Linked DNA regions of Elephas maximus indicus. The protein of the gene in region 1 purifies or fractionates together with the protein of each later gene. This does not show direct contact. Links are inferred from orthologs where the notes say so. Each region holds a gene or a part of one and is shown on either strand. Other genes may lie near its edges.

What was found. Proteins that work in one complex are often made in the same cells at the same time.
Region 2: the proteins of SKP2 (region 1) and CDH1 purify together in Homo sapiens (affinity purification with western blotting; 3 studies listed by BioGRID and IntAct, with this or other methods). This does not show direct contact. The link is inferred for Elephas maximus indicus from reciprocal best matches to the Homo sapiens genes SKP2 and CDH1.

Annotation. Positions count from the first base shown.
Region 1 is NC_064820.1:41,308,188-41,315,997, forward strand, and holds the start of SKP2 (S-phase kinase-associated protein 2), read left to right. Parts: upstream 1-4,797; 5' UTR 4,798-5,087; coding exon 5,088-5,095; intron 5,096-5,783; coding exon 5,784-6,055; intron 6,056-7,810. UniProt on the Homo sapiens protein: Substrate recognition component of a SCF (SKP1-CUL1-F-box protein) E3 ubiquitin-protein ligase complex which mediates the ubiquitination and subsequent proteasomal degradation of target proteins involved in cell cycle progression, signal transduction and transcription.
Region 2 is NC_064839.1:35,055,161-35,061,996, reverse strand, and holds the start of CDH1 (cadherin-1), read right to left. Parts: upstream 3,019-6,836; 5' UTR 2,901-3,018; coding exon 2,853-2,900; intron 2,839-2,852; exon of another isoform or gene 2,058-2,838; coding exon 1,943-2,057; intron 1-1,942.

The DNA of each region.
Region 1 (7,810 bases):
ACCGAATTCCAAAGTGTGACAAGTGTTTAGGAGAAGGACACACACAAACTGTTCTGTCTTTGGCAAGGCATGAAGGGAAGGGGTTGCAACCATGTACAGAGGTCAGAAGAAAGCAAGTAAAATTTTAATGAATTCTTAAAGATCTCAGGTAGATAATGCAAGACTTGTTTTGGTAATTAGAAAATAATCCTTACACTTTCTCTTAATAACAAAATAATTTTAAAAAAGAATAGCTAACATTTAGTGTGCACTTACTAAATATTGTGCTCCTACTTAACAAGCTTTATCATACTAAAGAGAAGACTGTTAGTATTCTTGTTTAATAAAGGAGAAAATTGGGCACAAACAGGATAAGGAATTTATCCAAGTTCCCACCAAAACCAAACCCAAACCCACTGCCGTCGAGTTGATTCCGACCCATAGTGACCCTATAGGACAGAGTAGAACTGCCCCACAGAGTTTCCAAGGAGCGCCTGGCAGATTTGAACTGCTGACCTCTTGGTTAGCAGCTGTAGCACTTAACCACTGCACCACCAGGGTTTCCCCAAGTTCCCACAAAAAAAAAAAAAAAAATTTTTTTTTTTTTTTTTTTAAAATGGCAAAGCTGGGATTCAAACTGAGGCATCCTAACTAGAGTCTGGCTCACAGTTAGAAAGCTACATCTTCTCTTCTCCAGTCCAGACATAGTTTCTTAATGCAATTTAAATTGTTTAAATAAATTTCTTCTGTTCAGTCTCCATAGTGAACAATCAGAAATTCCCCTATTGATCATCCCTATCAAGACATAGTTCACAGTATAAGAAGAAAATGTTCAATGTAGAACTTAGCTAAGCCTCTTTACCTCAGAGTAATACTGCCATTAGTTGACTTAAGGGTAATATGTGATTCTAATCTGTATGGGAAAAGTAGAAAAGAAAACATAGAGCAAATTAGAATCAGGGCCAGAACCTTTCCACCATCTGCCCATCACTGACAGCATTTAACTGCAGAGAACAAAAGATTTACTGTAGAATTAATCAAGGAAAAAAGATCCTTTCTCAAATTTTATTAGCAGATACAAACTTCTTGCCACATAATTGTTCTCAGGCTCTTGTTCCCGAGCTAAATGATGTGAGAAAAAAAACTCAAGAATTTTACAATTTATTTCATACTATGAAGGAACTAGGAGCCCTGGTGACGCAGTGGCTAAAGCACTTGGCTGCTAACCAAAGGGTCGGTGGCTCGAACCCACCAGCCGCTCTGCAGGAGAAAGATGGGGCAGTCTGCTTCTGTAAAGATTTACAGCCTTGGAAATCTTATGGGGCAGTTCTACTGTGTCTTATAGGATCTCTATCAGTTGGAATCGACTTGACAGCAGTGGGTTTGGTGGGTGTGAAGGAGCTAAGGAAAAAATTCATCACCATTCTCATTAAATAGAATCTCTTTTGTCATATTTGGTTTTCGAAAATAACATATACTTATATATGTACACACACACACCTATGACTATATTTATGACTATAAGCCACCACTCATCTGTCGGTTCGTAGCACTGTGGTGGCTTACGTGTTGCTGTGATGCTGGAAGCTATGCCAGTGGTATTTCAAATACCACCAGAGGGTTCTCAAAAAAGAGGAAGACCCTCAGTGAGATGTCTTGACAGAGGCTGCAAAAATAGGCTCAAGCAGAGCAACAATTGAGAAGATGTTGCAGGCCTGGGCAGTATTTCGTTCTGTTGTACATAGCATCACTATGAGTCAGAACCGACTCATGGCACCTAACAACAATGCTTATAAGATATATATACATATATATGTGTATACATACACACACATGTAATAAATAGCTTATAATCATTTATGATTTCCAGTCCTTTTTGGTCCCTCCTATAATTTTACCTCTAAACAGATAATACCACCCTTGCCCATTCTGAGCATCTCTCGGTGATAAACACTTCCCCAGTTTACACAGTCACTTTGGAGTCTATCTGAAGCTTCCAAAGGGTACTAGAAATGACGGGCCCTAAGTCATTTGCAGACGTTAAAAGAGACTGTAATTCATTTGTCCTGGATACTAACATAGGGAAGGGATTTTAGTTCTGGAAATATGGTGTACCCCAAAGTGGGAAATGGGATGTGCTAAGGTTAAACTAACAAAATTAATCAGGAAAATAAAATATTCCACATCAGTAGCAATCACAGTGCAATTAAGAGAACAAATAACAAGACGTCTGTACGTAGCCAGTAACTGCAAGTCTTCAATGGACACAATTCCTTATATCAAACAGTATCACATGTATCTATTTAAACTTTTATTTACAGCCATGAATGGAAGGAATGAGAAAAAAAGTTCCATATTAGCAAGCTGAAGTATTTCTCTTACCAGGGCAAACACTGTTAGTGAAATATCTACTCCAGTAGCAGAGGACTTGGACCTTCAGCTGAAGACTTGCAATTACTAGCTACCTACCAATTAATGGACCTTATGTCCATTAATTCAGATACTGCCAGTATTCTAAGAACTAGAAATGCTCCCTAAACAGCAGACAGAACAAGAATATTTCTTATCCTTAAATTTAGTATCTTCCCATCTACTAGACCTTCTTATCTATGAGATTTGTATCTAAAGTGGCCTATTCCAATTACTTTATATCTCAAAACTTTGTTACGCTTGCTATGGATTGTGTCCCCCCAAAATACGTGGTGGAATCCTAACCCCTGTACCTGTAGATGTAATGTAATGTACTGCAATCACCTTTGTATGCAATCTAATGTTATGTTACTGAGCCATACCCATTACCAGAGTTATAAAAAATGGTAGATAAAGACATGCAAAAACAAACGGGAAGAGAGGTGCCATGTGAAGATTGTCAAGGGACCAAGGAACAGGTAGGGCTACAGAAACTGAAAAAGACAAGGATCTTCCCCTACAGCTGACAAAGAGAGAGCCTTCCGTTATAGCTGGTGCCTGAATTCAGATTTCTAGACTCCTAAATTGTGAGAAAATAAATTTCTGTTCTTTAAAGCCATGCACTTGCGGTTCTTCTGTTACAGCAGCCCTAGTAACTAAGACAGTGCTCACCACGGCATTTTAAATATTTTTTTATCCTTTCTCCCCACAAGGTTACCAGTTCCCTCTGTCTTGTTCACTTTCCTGGAGACTATAACTTTTTTTGTTAGAAATATTTTCTGTAATGAGTTGCAAGCTTAAGGGAAAGTATGTATATCTCAAATGAAGGCAACTGCTTTCTCCTTAGCCAAAGTAAAGATAGGTAACTACCGTGCAAAAAACCAGGAATACTGCATTTAAAAAAATTATCATCTAACAGTAGTTTAATGAACTGTGCACACTAAGCCTAGTATTCTTCACCTAGTGTTGATCAAAATCAATTTGTGAACAGATCCCCTCTTAATAGAAATCTCACCTACTTTCGAGAACAAAATAAAGGTTCATGAATTCCTTCCTGTCAAGAAGTGGTTACTTTTCAAGAATCTAATCATTTTTTTCAAAGTAGTATGAAGGTATGTCATACAGCATAAAACCACTGTCATCGAGTGGATTCTGACTCTTCAAAGCTATAGGTCAGAGTAAAACTGCCCCATAGGGCTTCCAAGGCTGTAATCTTTATGGGAACAGACAGCCACTCTTTCTCCCCACTGAACTAATTCTTTGGGGATGAAACTGCCCTGCATAATTCTAAACTTTATAAAAAAACTTTATAAACCCTCATTATTTTTATTACGGTTGGAATTCATCCCTCTTCTCTCTTCCACTGTTTTCCCGGGGCCATCGTTGTAGTAGTTTGCAATGCACAATGGATTTCGCACGGTCATCCTACCTGGAATATGGTACACTCCCTACTCTAACGCCCCCAAACTGTTTCCCGCAGAGATAGGCTAAAGCAGTTCTAGGTGGCGACGCAAATGGATGCAGCCGGTTGGCCGAGAGCAACCGAATGGCTTTGCTGGTGGCTCAGAGCTTAGCCCTGGTAAAGCCCTTTGCAGATACACAACCCACCCAGTGCCGTCGAGTACAGTAACCATATTTATTCCCATACTAGCATTTAGGAGATTTGTCAAGGCTGCAAGGGGATGCGCACCCTTCCCACCGCACACAGGAACCAAGGTGGTCTCTTGTTCCCCTAAAATTCAACCATCCTCTCTCATTCCAACTGCGCTGTAGTTTAGAAAACGCTTCCACAACCGTTATCTGATTCGATCCTCATTCAACGCCTGTAACAAGAGCGTTGTTGTCGTAGTGCCTATTTCACAGGTAAGGAAAGGATCCTGCCCACAGACCCAGTCTAATTCTGAAATCATTTCCTGAAGGGCCCAAGGGCCGCCTCTCCCCGGTGCAGGAAGAGCTTCCTGGCAGAGGGCAGAGCAGGTGTGACGCCCACCTGGGTGACGGGCCGGGCTACTGGCTCCATGCAGTGGCCGGGGACGCAGGCCCCGCGGCGGCAGCCGTTCGGGATCTCCGGGGTTCCCTCCGTGTCCTCCTCTGCTCCGCCCCGGACCTCAGACCCCAGACCCCAAAGTGTCTCATCCCCTCCCTCAAGCTCACCGTCTGATCTCACCAGACAGAATCTGGACGGGACCAAGAAACTCCGCGTCGACCACAGCCGTCCAGGTTCTGGGACCCCCGCTCTGAAATGACGGCGGAAGCAGTCAGCAGAAGGCCTGCAGGTTCCCGGGAAAGGAAAACCCTTTCTCACTCAAGCAGCTGACATTCCCAGTCAGCCGGAGCACCGCCCACTTCCGCTTCCCTGCCCGCCCCTGTGGGCCGCGGGGGGTTGTGGGTATCTCAAAGGCCTGCGAAGCTTCAAGGGAAGGATTCAGGAAGTAGAGGGCGAGCCAGCCTGACTCCTGGACAGCATAGGAACTACAATTCCCAGCAGGCAGCTGGGCCTCAGACCTCTGCCGCAGAGGAGAGCGGGCAGAAGAGCCCTGTGCGCGCGGCGGGGATGGAACGTTACTAGAGTTCGCGGGTCTCACTGTTGGGGGCCAGCGCTGAGCGCTCGGAGCTGCCGCGCGCCAAAGCCGGAATCCCGAAGCAGCAGCTCCGCAATTAATGCACGTATTTAAAACTCCTGTGAATCGGTGGACGCCATGCACAGGTAAACCGATTGCAAAAAGGGGCAGAGCGTGCATGGACCGTCTTAATTCTTTTAGGCCGTGAATACTGCTACTTGCTGTTGTTGTTACTAATGCTGTGATTATGCGAATGGTTGCTTAGCCCATTCTTTGGGAAAGTGTGGATAAATGTTTTAGTGAGGTGATTAGCGAGACGTTTTATTTGGCTTCCCTTATAGGGCTTTCCTGCAGGGTTTTCAAAATCACTGGATGGCTGCCCTCCCTCCCTCCTTGTTCCCTCCACCGTAAGAAATTCTTGAGGCCTGCCTGCGTGATCGTAAATCAAAAGCCTTTCCCATTTGTTCGGTTATTTTTTTTTCTTGGGATTTCGCCACTGGCACTTACAAATGCAATTTTATTAACTGCTGCGGAAGTTTCAAGTTTTCTACAGCGCATAAACTGCAGCTTCTTTTGTGCCTACCTTGGAGCCCTCGTGGCTCAAATGGTTAAGCGCTCGGCTGCTAACCAAAAGGTCTGCATTTCGAACCCACCAGCCGCTTCGAAAGAGAAAGATGTGGAAGTCTGCTTCCCTGAAGATTACAGCCTTGGAAACTCAGTGGGGCAGTTCTACTCTGCCCTATAGGGTGACTATGAATCGAAAGGCTGGACGGGGGATGGGTTTGGTTTTGGCTTTATTCTTGAAAAGAAAGGGAGTGTTGTGCATTTCTGCAGGAAACACCTCCAGGAGATTCCGGACCAAAGTAGCAACGTTACCACCAGTTTCACGTGGGGATGGGATTCTAGCAAGACTTCAGAACTGCTCTCAGGCATGGGAGTCTCTGCCCTGGAGAAGGAGGAGGTGGACAGTGAAAATATCCCCCAGGAACTGCTCTCCAGCCTTAGTCACCCGCAGAGCCCCCCGCGAAAGCGGCTGAAAAGCAAGGGGAATGACAAGGACTTTGTGATTGTTCGCAGACCCAAGCTAAATCGAGAGAACTTTCCAGGTAAGGTATGCAGGTAAAACTGGCAGTCACATAAGGGGGTGGATGGTTTGCACTGTTTTGTCCATCAGCCTTTGTTCAGGGATCTTTAGGATGGTTTCCTATGTTAAGTTGCCTAATTCTTAAATTGGATTGAAACAGTGGCTGCAACAATGGGTTCAAACACAGCAACTATTTTGAGGCTGGCTCAGGAGCCAGCAGTGTTTCATTCTGTTGTACATAGGGTCACTATGAGTCAGAACTAACTCTACAGCACCTAACAACAGCTCTGAAGTTATTTTTTGAAGGAATAGAGGAAGTAATTGTCTTTGAAGTCTATAGGAATCTTTCTGGGTATCTGGTGTATAATTGACTTGAAAATCTTAACCCGAGACAATACCTTTCTGCTCTTTTCTGTAGAAGGGAATCTGCCTGAAGAAAGGCATGAAGTAGCCAGCCAGCTTAGTTTCACAGATAAATGGCAGCATAAACAGTAGTCTTCTTCCAGGATTCCTTTTTCTTAAAGCCCTGGGTGAGCTTTTTGCACTAATCACTTTAGGTATTTTGTCAATAAGTTGCTAAAGTATTTGTGTATTAAACTAAGTGGAAGAGACTTATCTCTCAGGCCTACTTCCAGATGGGCTTCTCCTGGTAGCTTCTGTCTCAGTTGCTGCCTGCTCAATCACCCAAACCAAAAACCTAAGGGTCAGCATAGATTCCTACCATCCCCCAATATCCAATCAATCGTTACATCTTCCATTCTTGTCTCCTAAGTATTTCTCAAATTCTCATCATCTCTTGCCTATTGGAATACATGCATAACTCCAGCTTATCCTCCCCAGATCCATCCCCTGAAGCCAGAGTGACTTAACTGAAATTATTTATTTATTTTTCCAAATTTAATGTCACTGGTATTTTTAGTGTCTGAAATGGAGCACTAGCCATTTGGTGCTTGACCAACCAAATGTGAAAGACACTTCCTTTTAAGATGAACAGATTTTGGCTGAATTGCCAAGAACTGATAGCTCTTGACGTAGTGTTATTGGTGCCTGTCCTTCCGCATTCCTACACAGACAGGCATAAATAAAAATGACATTTCTTAAGCAAGGCTCTGTGGGAAACAAGTCAGAAGTTTAAGAGGTGATTGCTGTCTTCTGGGAATTTGCAAGTCAAGTTGAGGAGAAAAGACGATAAGAAATAACAAGTTTACAGTAATACATGGTGGATAATACACTAGCAGCAGACAAGTAGCGTAGGTAGTGAGCACTGTAGGAGGCCAGAGGGAGGAGCTTATTTGTGCCAAAGTGACTTGAAGCTTCCCAGAGGCAGAAGGGCTTCAATGGTAATGCCCATTCAGGTGGATGATCCTCCTTCTTCCTCGCAGCAAGAGTGGTTTGTTGAAGTGTCCTCAATAAATCATATCTTTTTAGTATAGGTAACGCGTCTTACTGGGCATATTTATTTCTCACATCACTTCACTTAGAAAACAGAGATTATTTTATCTCTGTCTGTGTGTGAATGTGGAAGGAGAGACACCAGTCATACTCCATGTCGAGAGTCATTGGTACTGGCCAAGTTCATCAAAATCACTACTCTTGGAAGGGAGAGAAAGATCTGGAAATGGTCCAGTAAATGAGGCTAAATTGTTAAACCTGACTTTAAAAACATGTCTGAGGTGAGAGAGAAAAAAAATGAACCTTTATGTTTGTTACTACTTGAGAGAGACCAAGAGAGACACTAATAACACATGTTTGTGCATGTATGGAATTACACACAATG
Region 2 (6,836 bases), on another chromosome or scaffold:
GCCCACAGGGAGAATGTAGTCTACTTCACAAAAGCCACAAATTCCCCAAACATCATCATCTTTTTTTTTTTTTTTTTGAATATTGAAGAGAAAGAAGAGGGGAAGAGGAGGAAAAAGACCAGTTTGGATCCTTGAGCAGATAACTGAACCTGTCTGTGCTTCAGTTACCACAAAAAAGAAATAATCATTGTGCCTACCCTCATAAATTGTTGTGAATTTAAATAAGATACAATATGTGAAGCACTTACTCCAGAATCTGGTTCAAAAGCGAGTAATAAAGAGACTGCTATTAATTATAATAATTATGTTGTTAGGGATACATAATATTACTGGTCAGATGCCATGTGCTTAGAAGGGGAAAATAAAAATCAGACTAACCCACCCTTGGAGCCCTGGTGGTGCAGTGGTTAAGCTCTTGGCTGTTAACTGAAAGGTCAATGGTTCAACCCCATCAGCTGCTCCTAGATTACAGCCTTGGAAACCCTAGGGGGCAGTTTTACTCTCTTATATAGGGTTGCTATGAGTCAGGTTTGGTTTTTGATAACACACGCTTGGGACTAACCAAATATACTCAACTGTCCTGGTGCATGAAAGCAAACTGGCCAGCACCTGTGTTGACACACCTCATATATACACACGTAACATACTCACTGCCTTTTCTAAGCCCTACCTGACTCTTAAGGCCAGGTCAGGCTTTATTCCTCCCAAAAGTCAGTCTTCACTGTCCACCAAAATATCTTCGCCCTTTCGCACCTCATTGCCCAGGCACCATGGTGCCCTCTGGTAAAGGGGCCCTGAGACATTCTCAACAATCAGCTAGAATGTGAAATACTGAGGACAGGGTTGGAGCATCCTGTCCCCACATCTCTTAACGTGTTCCCTGGTGCCCAGCCCAAGGCTGGACAAAACATTAAATAGAGACTGCCTGAGTAACGGCCGACCGTCTGCAACATCAGGCAGATGTGTCCTTTCTGACCCAACAGGAAGCTCTAAACAACAGAGAAAGGCCTCCGAAAAGCAAATATGTTTAATCAATCAAACGGCAGTTTCTCTGGGGAAAAGGCTGCCCACTGTTAGAACAACTTCCAAAGTTCAAAAAAAAATCTTTAAGACAGCAGTGTGATTGCTGCAGGTTCTTCACGTGGCCAAAGACTGGAGGAATAAACTCAGTGATGCCTCAGGGGAACTGTGGGTGATTTCTCTTTTTAAAAAGTGCTTCCTTCATTGTTATGATATTCGCCCAATCAACCAATATCATGAGGGAGGAGAAAGTCCACTGATGATAAGCAAGCAACAGAAACAGGGAAATCAGAGGAGAAACCAACCCCTTCCCTCTATCCTGCCCCTGGGCAACAGTGAAGTGAAACAAACTCCAGAATCCAGGTGATCACAATGATAAAGCCTAGAAGTACACTGGGCGTTTGTATGCATTTTCATCCCCTGAGTCAGAGCTAACAAACTTTTTTTAAATACCATTATTTCATAGGGGAATAGCACCTGTATCAAAATGTTCTCATCCCCAGAGCAAAAGCCACAGCCCTGGCAACCAAAAAGGTTCCACAGTCACCACAGAGATGGTTGCAGAACTATGCGTGGGAATCAGATCCTAGTTCCAGTATCTGTTCCCCTGACCCTGGGCAAGTGAACTGCACCCTCCCCCCCGAGCTTCGGTTTGTTCATCTGTAAAACGGGAATATTGCCCACCTTTCTCTAAAGTGCCCAGGACTTAAGACACACTGAAGGCTCTTATTAGTGCCTTCCCCCTTTTACAACATAGGTAAACAGACAGGGCGTCGTCCTTCAAACACTTAGTAAAAGTTTAAATCCTTAAATCTGTGCACATTCAAAAGGATATCTTTTGAGCCAAGAGGGGGGTTCGCCCAGGAGAGCCAAGGCGTAGGTATGCAATTTCTCCGTCCCCCCACGGGCGGCGTGCCCTCACCTCTGCCCAGGACGTGACCTCTCTCCAAGTGCCGCCGGGTAACCGTGAACACGTAGCTCTCCGCCCCAAAGCCAGGACGGCAGGGCTCCGGCTCCTCACAGAGCCACGCCGAAACCTGCAGTGAGGGAAAGGTATGTAACCGGGGTGACTTGGGGGGGAGGGTTGCCTCCTGCTCACACTGAAATCCTCCCTCGCTTGCGGCATCGGGACTGAGGGAGGAACGCCCCACTACCCCAGAAGACAGCGGCGTCACCCTCTGCCACCTCGAAACCCGCAGCCGCCAAGCCCCCCAAGGAACTTCGCGGGAGGGAGCTTCTGGGTCACCTCCTCATGACTAAGCCCCCCTTTCCTTTCTGTCTTCTTTTTCATTTCACTGGTAGTGTCTTTACAGTTCACGATTCCGTTTTCTCATACCGAAACGCCCCCGCCTTAATCTAATTCCTCACAGAGGGGCTGCCCAACCCCTTCGGACCTCACTTTCCCTATCCCGGGGACGCCCCCATTTCTACTTACATGGGAGGTGTCTTGATTTCTATGGAAGCCCTTTTCCTCACTTCGTTCCCACTACTGGCTTCTCCTGTACTGACAACGGGGCTTCCCTTTCCCGACTGACTCCACGTCCCCACTGCCCGGTCCAAGTCCACACCTCGACCAACACAGAGCCCCCCGAGCCTACGGCGAGGTGCGCCCCCCACTCGGGTATTTGCGGCCGGGGGCGGGCTCAGCCGCGCGCCGCTTTACCCCTCCCACTCAGGGGAGCGCGCCGCAGCTTCCAGGCCGTTCTCGCCCTTCGGACCCAAACTTTCTCTGAAGGAGGAGCGGGGACAGTGCGAGAGAAGAGGGGACGCAGAGCCGAGGCGCGGAGCGTGGGGCCAGAATGCTTTCTCTGAAGTCAGGTGAGCCGACGTACCTGTAGCAGCAGCAGGAGTGCGAAGAGGCTGCAGCACCGAGGGCCCATGGCGGCCCGGACCGGGGCTGAGGGAGGCGGGGGTCTGGTTGGGCCGGGCTAGAGCCTGGCAAGACTTCCGTGAACTCACAGGTGCTCTTGGACTCCGGACGCCACTGAGCAGAGCAGCGCTGCGGCCACCAGGTGAGTCCCGAGGGTGCCGCCCCCAGCGCCACTGATTGGCTGAGGATGCACCTGCCCTGGCCGCAGCCTATAGGCGGCGTGGCTCGGCCCGCAGCTTCCTCCGCAGGGCGGGGGGCGGGCGGCTCGCCCACGGCCCCGCCCTGCGGCCCCGAAACGACCCGGTGATAAGCTGAGGAGAGGTTTGTAGGGCCTAGGTGGAGCGTTGGGGCTGCATGATTCCGATTCTCACTGGGTTCAAATCCTAGCCCTACCAGGGCTAAGACAGGGGTCAGAAAGGACCCCTTGGGTTCTTAAAGGCACACCACAGCCACCACCAACCACTATCTGGAGAATTCTGTCCACAGTAAAATGACCTAGTTATGTCTTTTTAACTGCAGATCTCCATCGATTAGTGAGTCATCGGATTGATTCACAGGGTCAGGACCACCTCTCACCTGAAGCCTCACCTTCTACACCATCCAAATGGAAATAATAAGTACAAACACCTGACTGTGTTGTTGTGGGGTTCCCATACAATTAATAAGGCCAATGTTTCCTGCACCATAAAAGCTCTGTACAGGTGTGAGGGGTAATAATACTAGCACTAGGTGCTGGGCACTGAATGTTACTGTCCCAGGCTCTGTGCTGAGCATTTGAATTGACCATTCACTTAATCTCATCTCAATACAAACCAAGTGCTGTATCATTGTTCCCATTTGATAGATGGGGCAAACGAGGCTTAAAGAGATTGAGGCCAATAGGCAGTGGCAGAGAACTGGCACCTACCTCCCTCTGATTCCAGGGCCCTTGCTTTTAACTATTATGCTTCACCTCGTGTGGCTTCCCACCCTCTCCCACCCCCCAAGTCTTCCAGCTGGAGCTGCAGGTTTCAATCTGTCCTTTAATTTTGACATGGAAAAGACCTTTTAGAGTTCACCCAAACCTGTTATTTGCAAGCAACTTGCTCAACATCACACGGCAAGTCAATGTCAAAGCTGAGACTAGAACCCAAGATCTCCTGATCCCCAACTGGGGTTCTTAAAGCCACACCAAACCCACCACCACAGCCTTCTCTGAAGCATCTGTCCCCAGTAAAATGATTTTAAGATCAAGAAAAGAATAGCCAGGCAAACATTAGGTCAGACACCTTCCCTTTCCTATGGCCAGCCATGTCTGTGCAGTTTGGCTCCCCCATCCCACCAACTGCTCACTGGCTGTGTGACCTTGGCCCAGGCAGTGTTCTCATCTATATATCCAAACCTTTGGCCATCAAGTTGATTCTAACTCATAACAAACCCTACAGGACAGGGTAGAACTGCCTTATAGGGTTTCCAAGGCTGTCATCTTTACGGAAGCAAACTGCCAGATCTTTCTCCTTCGTAGCCACTTGTGGGTTTGAACTGCCCACCTTTCAGTTAGCCACCGAGCCCATAGCCACTGCGCCACCAGGGCTCCCTTCTTATTTGTATAAATGGATTGAAATGAGTTAATATAAGAAAATCTCTAAGCAGAGTACTTGGCACATAATAGTAACTGCTCAATAAATGTTTGATGTGGAGGTTGTTCTCTAGCAAGGGTCACTCCCCTCTTTCCCTTCCTCACTGGGAAGGCCACATTTGGAATACTGTATTTCACCCAGAGCGAAAGGTGAATCTAAACCTATTGAGGGTAGTTCTCCGAGAACTCCAGAGGAGTGGCACCATTTCCAGTCTGCCCAGGCCACCCTTGGTCCCCTCTGTTTTAATGGGTTTCTGAGCACACACCCAGGCCATTTGGATATCTACATCTTGGCTCTCTGCCTTTTTACCTGCCAGGAGGCTTGGAGGAGAAGCCTTCGGTGTTTCCTTTCCCACTGAGGCTCCTGCTGGACTGTGCATTAAACAAGATAATGGAAATACAGAAACAGGCGTTTCCCCCATGGGGCAGCCTTGCCACTTTGTGGTTTTTTTTTTTTTTCTTCTCCCAGTTATGTAAAAATATATATTTTATACCATCGCTCAGCCCAGGGAGCCTTTAGGGCTTTGCTTTCTTCTTCCCCGCAAGCCCTGGCCTTATAATTCTGAAGTGACTCTCATTGACTCTTCCATTACACTCTGATAATTCAATAAAAAAGATTTTAGAAAACAATTAAGAGCAGCGAGGACAGGTTGGGATGATGCACACTTCAGACTTCTCGGCAGGTCTTTGAAGCTCCAGGGAGTGAGTCCCGATGGGCGGTCCCCTTCAGCTGTCCAGGGTAAGGAGGGAACACAAAGCGGTTCCCTGTGGAGGTGGGGTGATTTGTGACTTTTGGCAACACAGTGAATTGCCTCAGCTTCCCCTTGTATCAAAGAAGCATATTAATTAACTCCATGTTAAGATCAAATGAGCCAGGGTAGGTGAGCCAACGAGTTATGATGTGAGTAGCCTTGGGTCTCAGGTTGGCCAGACCAGAAAACCAAGCCTGTTGCCAATTCAGGCTCGTGACCACCCTGTGTGTTACAGAGTAGAACTGAGCTCCATAGTTTTCTTGGCTGTAATCTTCCGCTGTGCCGTGGGGTGGGTTCCAACTGCCAAAATTTGTACCAAACCAAAAACCCAAACCCACTGCCGTGAAGTAGATTCCAACTCATAGCGACCCTATAGGACAGAGTAGAACTGCCCCACACGGTTCCCCAGGAGTGCCTGGTGAATCCAAACTGCTGACCTTTTGGTTAGCAGCTGTGGCTCTTAACCACCAGGGTTTCCAACTTTTGTAGGGAAGATTCAAGTTCTGGCTTTGCCACTAGCTAGATTGGATAAGCCATTTTATCTTTCAAAGTCTAGGCTTCCTCATCCCTAAAACGGGAATGTTGTTGGAGCATAATTCACAAGGTTATTATAAGCACTCTGTAAAAGTTAGCTATTAGCATCTTTGCCCAATACATTTCCTTCTAGATTCTAGGGAAAATTGTGAGGCCCCTTGAGAGTTCCCCACACCTAGGCTCTTCTACACCCACCCACCCATACCTCCTCCACCCCAGCCATTAAAACCTCTTAGGCTATCTTTTGTATCTGCTGGGGGAAATTCTTTTTAGGCTGGATGGCTGGTCATTTTGACCCTCCCAGGGTCATTTGCATTTTAAAGAAGGTTCTAAAGAATGACCTTGCTTCTTTCAAATGAATGAAAGCTTTTGGCTCTACTAAACTCTGTTAATCTGGTGTCTTGAATGGGTTTCTAGGGGGGTCTGTGAATAACTGGAGATTGTGTGCAAACCTGTAGGTGCAGGTAGCAAGACCCATAACTTTCATTAGCCTCACGGCTGGGGGAGAACAAATCCAAATCTAAAGCTTGGAATCTCTGAGTGCTAATGTGGAATTACAGGCTTTGACAGAAAAAAGGAATGTTGACTAGAGGCCTCCACTGTTCCCTTGAGATCTCTCCAGGTAGGTGATAAACCCCAGCCTTCCTCACTGCAGTGTGTGTCTCTGGCGGATTTTCATTTCCTGGGTGTCCGGGCCCTGCAGAGAGGCTAGTGATTAGTTCCCAAGGCAAGCCTGTCCCTTTCATCTCCGTGTGGCCTGGCCTACCAGGTAGTAATAATGGTGCTCAGACTGGGAGGGGCGACCTCCCTTGGCCTCTGCTGAGAGGAGCCCAGCCCCCAGCTGGCTGGGGATGAATCCCCAGGGAAATTTGAACTGCTAGGGATTACAGCCAGGCCAGCCTTCGCAACAGAGTTGGGAGAGCAGGCTCCATTCTTAGCTGTTCCTGGGGGCTTCTGACACCCCTCCCAGTCTTGCCAGGCTAACCACCAGCACGCAGAAGGGAACTAGACACCCTTGCTACAGCCTGCTGTTATAATGCTG